Linked DNA regions of Schizosaccharomyces pombe. The protein of the gene in region 2 purifies or fractionates together with the protein of the main gene of each other region. This does not show direct contact. Each region holds a gene or a part of one and is shown on either strand. Other genes may lie near its edges.

Region 1 (3,483 bases), 1.9 Mb from region 2:
TGATGGTTGCTTTAAAAAATCTACCCGGTATGGCTATTCTGACAGCTCCTTGGTTTCTTGCTGAAATTCGTGGATATGGTTATGTTTATGATAAGCTTGATGAATATGGTTACTTTTATCTTTTCTTTTCCATCGCGCTTTTCCTTCTATTTTCTGATTTTTTGATTTACTGGATTCACCGCGCTTTGCATCATCGTTGGCTTTACGCTCCTTTGCATAAGCTTCATCACAAATGGATTGTTCCAACTCCTTACTCTTCTCACGCTTTTCATTATCTTGATGGATACAGTCAATCCCTTCCATATCATATGTTTCCCTTTTTCTTTCCCTTAAATAAGTATGTTTACTTATTGCTTTTTGGATCAGTAAATTATTGGACCGTACTCATCCACGACGGCAAATACTTTTCTAACAACGCTGTCGTAAATGGTGCTGCTCATCACGCTGCTCACCATATGTACTTTAATTACAATTATGGTCAGTTTTTCACCTTGTTTGATCGTCTTTGCAGTTCATATCGTCAACCAGACCAAGAATTATTTGACGCCGAACTTCGCAATGAGAAATTGCAAGAGCAGCGCATTCGCTTTATGGAGACAGTTCAATACACCGTTGAGGGTAAAGATGATCGCACTTATGCCAGCAAGAAGGATAACTAATTCACTTTAAGATTTATTATTTGATACACTCCCCTCTCTTTTGTTTTATGTTCTAGCTTGTCTTTTGAGAGAGAAGCTGAAATAAAACCGCTTTTGATTTGATTTATATAGAATTATTATTTTTGGTATTTTTTCACCGTGTTGTTAAAGCTACTCATATCGATTTTTTTTGCTAAAATGGAAAATATTGCTGAATTATGACTTTAATTCATGTAAACGTGAATTTGGGTTGAAAAGAAGTTATGAACGCTTACAGTTTTGTTTTTGATAGAAAATTAACGCTTTAAAAATATGCGTAACATGTAGTGATTGAGTCTTTTCTGTAGTAAGTTGTGTATAAAGTTCAGTAAAGTTCACATTGGGTAAGTTACTAATGCATCAAAATTATCGTATAAAAGGTACTAATCACATTTTTACTGCTCTAACATTTCTTCTTAGAAATACTCGATTATGTAAATCAAGTTTTTTACCTTGTGCCCTGATTAAGCTTTTTGACCGAAGAGAATGAAGATTTATTGGATGATTATGGTTGTCTTTCACCCCAAATTCGCGAAATCGCAGTACAAGTAGCTCTGTTTCGTACACTCTTGGTTTCTGATTTTCCGTTGGTATAAATCTCCGTCTTTCCAGTCGTTTCAATATGGCGTCAAATTGCTGCAAATTGTCCGGAATTTTTGTATTATGAAACACATTATCAAATGCAATCTCAATTGCTCTTGCTTTTTCTAACGGCATTAAATCCATTTGCTTAACATTTTAATAAAATATCACAGACGGAGAAACTTTCGAAAATTAGGTAGTCCGTTAATATACGAAAGAAAGAATAACTAATTATTGTCGTTTATTAAAGATACTTTAACTAATACTCCTTTTGGAAGAGTAAAACGCGTACTAGTGTATTTCCTACCCTTGAGTATGAGCATGCCATACACATGTGAAGAGTACAAGAAAGTAATATTCTCTTATAATTTCATAATGTAATATATATTATCATAAAGGATTTATATATCTAAAGTCAATAATTTGATATAATTAGTTGCTTTTCTCAAACAAATCATGTTATTTAATGAATTTACTAATAATCTTTTTTAATTGAAGTCCATTAGTTTAATTAGTTGATTTCGGTTTTGGACTCAAACAAATAGGCTCAATGAACTCTGTAATTGCAAATGCTACGTAGACCACCTACAAGAAAGAAAAAAAAAAAATATATATATATATTACAGAAAGCCTCAACTTACTAAGCAGTTAACTCTTGTATTTGAGACGTTTAATTTATACTCTTCTTGTAGAGCGAAGACTAATTTTTCCGTTTACGGTTTTGATTCTCGGGATTAGCGAATTCGAGGTATTTTAGTATATTTATGAACAAAAATGATACACCTGCCGCAGGGGAGTTTTACACAAGGACTAATAGTTGGACAATTGTTGACACTGGCCATTATTTATGTGTTTTTGCGGTTCTTTTTATTTTGTAGTCCAATTCCAAAGTCTGTAGCAAACTCTCCAAAACAAACGGGGAATGAAACACCTGACGAGACTCCTTCAACTCCTTTAAGTAATAACAAAAAAAGGTACAAAAAGCCTCTTACTATCCTTGAACCTCATATACTCAATCTGCTTTACGATGTTAATGAACATGAGCCGGAATCATTGGATTGGTTTAATGTACTAATAGCACAAGCTCTCATACAGTTTCGCTATGATGCATGTTCCAACGATGTTGCCCTGAGAAAACTTGAAACTGTTCTCAACAAAGGTGCTCAAGACAAGTCTATGGTTGATCATATTTACGTGCGAGATTTATCGCTTGGAGACGGATTTCCGGTTTTCAGTCATTGTCGGGTTCTACCTCATCAGCATAATTCCTCACAGCTTCGAGCGGAGATGCTTGTTTCTCTGACTGACAATATTAATTGCACCGTTGACACAAAGCTTTTACTTAATTTTCCAAAGCCTGCGTTTGCAACCTTACCATTGTCCATTACAGTTAGGATTTGTAAATTTGTCGGAAAGGTAAGTCTATTTACAACCTTAATAGTATATAGTCTCTACGATTCTTTACACCCCTCCCCCGGGGGTTTGAAACATCAAGTGTTAAATCGTATCACAGTGGTATTCTACGATAGACTATTTTTTTTCGTCTTTTAATAACGGTCTTTTCTAACATTTGTCCTAGATTATGATTTATTTTTCCCCAAGCAATGGTGCAGGCCAGCCTGCATATATGAACTTGTCATTTGACCCCAATTTCGTGATCTCGCTACAAGTAAGTTCTCTTGTGGGAGCTAGGTCAAAGCTTCAAGACATTCCTAAAATTACACAATTGATCGAATCAAGGATTCGACAATGGTTTACTAATCGTTGTGTTTCTCCTCAGTTTCAACAGTAAGTGAGAGTATGAATTGATTCATACTAACTAATTCCCACAGGATCGCAATTCCCAACCTATGGCCAACCTCTGCAAAAGAAGGACATGCGAGGTCCCATGCACCTCAAGAGGAGTCATCTAATGAAGATTAAACATTCTTTTGACGTAATTTTCGGAAATTTTTTTTATCTATGAATTTTAACGATAATTTATCTCTACCAGATTCCACGAAATATATTGATTATGAAGTCGAAATAAAAATTTTAAGCATTAGCTTGCGAAATATGGCGGGTAACTTCGATTCGGAATCCAGCCGTTCTTCTCATATTCCATCCACCACCTATTGCATTCGAATTCTACGTTTTCCGAACACATTTTTTTAACAATTCGTGATAAATTCCTCGCATCATCTATTCCGCGATGCTCGCTTCCCTCAAACTGAAGACCCCAATG
Region 2 (3,654 bases):
CCGCTGCGAACGACCGTTACGAATCCATCTTCATCAGGTTGATTTTTCATAGCGAATAGTCTCCTCTTTTCTGCTATTTCCTTTTTAGTAACACGTTTCATGTATGAATCAACACTTTCGGCTAGAACACGTGGATTGACAAACTGTCTATCATAACTTTCTACATAACCTATTAAACACATTAGTATTTCCAAAAAAATAATGACCATGTTCTTACGTTTCAAACCAGTATGCTGTGTGAACTTCCAAGGAAGCGAGGTCGTCTTTTTAGAAGCTGCCTTGATAACTTGTTTAACTTCAGCGGGCTCGACTAATTTGACGCGTAAATGGGTGCCACTTTTCAAAAGGCCACTAATATTAGGATAGATATTAACGATACGACCGCCCAATTGAGAAATTGCTCTTTTCAAAATCTTTTCAGTAGTTGTGATAGGAACATTAATCAAATACAGTGACTTCTTTTCAACATCTTCCGTGTCTTCTTTCAAAAATATACTATGCAACCTCTTTTTATTTTCCAAATAAATTTCTAGTTTAACAAACCCTTTTTCTTTGAGCTTGTCCATTTATATGAGTTGTTTGGTTCTTGGGTAAAATGCAATTTGTTACTGAGCTTGACCGAGGGCAAGACCATAGGAGCTGTATACTCTTATACCTTCGCATACTTCATCTCGTTGTGACTATAATTATTATTATATACAATATACATTAAGAATGTTAGAATAAGCGAAAATTAAACTAAGATTTGCTTATTTTCTAGGATTAAAAAAAAAATGTAATTATACAACTTGTAATTTATTTGCTGCTAAATAAAAGCTCCAAAAAGCAATGTAATAATTGAATTGGGAGCTAGAGGTGTTGGATTGTAAATTAATAAAAAAATACAGCTATATTGATATGCGTGGTTGCTAATTGCATTTAGTGTTCCTAACCAAGATAAACGTTTTTAAAAAAGATCCTTATAGCCTACTCATACAAAGTATAGTGCTCGGTATAGTCATTTAAAAGGATTATTGATATTTGAATAAATTACTGCACACGCTTAAGGTAACTTTTTGCATTATAAAATGGTCATTCAAAATTTTTCGTAATAACAAAGAAACGTTATTGTATACTTCTTGTTCGATTGGACTCACTACCTTCTACGACTTCCCTTATGCAAAATCAGTTTTCCAAAAGTTTGAAGTCTTTTAAGTTCTGAGTTTGGGTTAATTGTAGGGGTTTTGCGTCTTATTGGAGTCACAGGAAGCTCTATAGGGCTAAGTTTTCTCAACGGTGAGGATGAGTCTGCATTAAAATAAAAAGCTTCTGCAGCATCATATTGGTTACTTGCTGATTCTTCAAGAGATATGAAAGAACGGTTTTTACTCACAGAAAGAGAATCCACTGATGTGTAAGGCGAGTAACCCCTCGATGCATCAATAACGTTGATACTTTCCGTAGAAACATTAGACACGTTGTTGATTTCTGTATGACATGATTCTTTTTTCACTTTGTAAGGAGGTGATCTAATTGTATTAGAATGTGATGGATGCTTGTTTTTTGAAGTAGTGGGACCGGTTTTTGAAAAAGTATAGCTGACTATTTCATCCTCTTCTAAATAGTCTGGTAATCGGTAATTATTTTGTGAAAGTAATTTATTATTGTCACTTAAATTATATTTTAAGCATTCAAAGCCCATCGGAGAATCCTCTATACTATAAGTCGACATATTTAACGTAGGATCTGAAGTTTTTAATATCATCAATCTTGCAGAATCATGTCTTAGTTTACTCAATGCTTCTTCAGCTCGCAATGGCAAAGGAAGAGATTCAAATAATTGTTCAAATTTCACTTGGATTCGATCTTCTTTTGGTGCATTATTTATGAACGCGTGCGATTCACTTTGTTCCAACATTTTGCCATGCGATTTATCTTTTTAAAGATATGACTTTAGGTTAAAATGAAGTTTAACAAAGTTTTGAGATTTGGATAAATCCAACTTTTCAATAATTGCTTCATTTAGGTGTTAAGGCTCAAGAAAATTGGTTAGTGAAGAAGGTAAATAAAATCAACGATATATATACTGTAGGTGCTTGCAAAAAATGTCTTCAATGAAAAACCTAGGAATTGATTAAAGGGATGATAAAGACAAAAGAGGTATAGAGTTTATATATACTATTTATTTGATACAGCGAACCGCTGACATTTTGTAGAATACAACTTATGTAGCTTAATTGAATGTTTTGATCGCAAAAAAAGGGTTTCTAGGAATTTTCGATATATTAGAGCTAGATGAGATGAAGTATTAGGAAAATGTTTTTTTTTTCTATATATAGAAATAGCAATACCAATAAACGCGCGACAAATAAGCTTACTATTTACAATGTAAAACAAACATTTCTCTCAAGCTGCGAAACCAATGTGATTTCTAATTCTAAACCATACTTATTCATTCTGTAAGTTCAGAGCGAATATCTTGCAAATTAGCGGAAACATTCATTAATGCTCGTGTGCGGGCAAGCAATGCATTTCCTTACGACTGATATTGTTCCGGCAGTGACCCAAAAAGTCATATGCCTTTGAAACTAATTACAATGTTCAATATCAAATGTATATATGAGGTATTAATTCATAATAATAATTCATTCGTATGAATAACAGCTCAAATATTTTTTATTTTTACTGTATATATTCGTCTATGGATAGAACCGTACAACTAGGAAGGTTGTCCGAGTGGTTATGGAGCTAGTTTAAGGCACTAGTGCGAAAGCTCGTGGGTTCGAGTCCCACACCTTTCAATACTATTTTTATTCTTTTGGATATCTGCAAAATGTCAATGTAAAAAAAGGAGAAAACCGAAATTGATAAATATTTTTTTGAATTCAACTTTAAAACAACTTCATATATTGATCCTTAATAGTTTATCATTTTTGCTGTCTTTACATCACACTATTACAATTTAGTGTATTGTAGCAAACCTTTATTATTCCAAATCCTTTCTAAACAATGTTTAACGAAATACAGTGACTCTCATCAAATCTCTTTACTACCCCCAGCTACATTTCCTAATAAGGTTTTATAAATGGCCTACCATAGGTCATACTGGTTTCACACACCGAATAGGATTCTACAGGTTCAAAGCACTACCGTGCACTCATACTCCATATAATATATTACAGTGTTTATAAGGGTGTAGCATATTTACCTTCTACCACATACAACAACCCCCTCTAGCAATAATACAAAATAAGCAAGCCACTGTTAGTTGATTTGGCTTTCGTACATTCTTCTTGTTTTTTCTTGTGCTGTCTTTATTCAAGATTGAAGTAAATTACTTGTTACGGAAAAACCATCATAATGACTTCTTACGGCAATGGCTTTCGCATGATGGCGAAATGTCTTTTATCTCTACGTTCAGGATATTCAGTCACTGCTCCAGTGTCTAAATCCATGGCCAACGTCCTTTGGGCCCGTTATGGTATGTGTTGTTGATCATGATGTAGATATTGTTTGTTAAAGGAGACGGGATATATATGTTAGTACTCAACTTGCTCATAAGAATCAACTTTTGCTAAGTGCATCTGTCTTAAACTTTATTTTGAATCAAGTGGACGCTGTTGATTTCAAAATAATTAAATAATTCTTCACAAGGTCATATTCACACATGAATAG

Evidence for each region.
Region 1: the proteins of mis20 (region 2) and mis19 purify together in Schizosaccharomyces pombe (affinity purification with mass spectrometry; 2 studies listed by BioGRID). This does not show direct contact.

What each region holds. Positions count from the first base shown.
Region 1 is NC_003423.3:1,321,651-1,325,133, reverse strand, and holds mis19 (protein Mis19), read right to left. Parts: upstream 1,404-3,483; coding exon 1,065-1,403; 3' UTR 760-1,064; downstream 1-759. Other genes in the region: C-5 sterol desaturase Erg32, read left to right, coding at 1-659; ERMES complex subunit Mmm1, read left to right, coding at 2,034-2,675, 2,839-3,047, 3,092-3,182; double-strand siRNA ribonuclease Eri1, read right to left, coding at 3,301-3,483. UniProt on the Schizosaccharomyces pombe protein: Component of the CENP-A recruiting complex that ensures the integrity of mitotic spindles through maintenance of kinetochore factors mis6/CENP-I and cnp1/CENP-A.
Region 2 is NC_003423.3:3,208,265-3,211,918, reverse strand, and holds mis20 (protein Mis20), read right to left. Parts: upstream 2,034-3,654; 5' UTR 1,898-2,033; coding exon 1,136-1,897; 3' UTR 756-1,135; downstream 1-755. Other genes in the region: rRNA processing protein Rrp7, read right to left, coding at 1-169, 218-566; kgd2 (dihydrolipoyllysine-residue succinyltransferase), read left to right, coding at 3,340-3,460.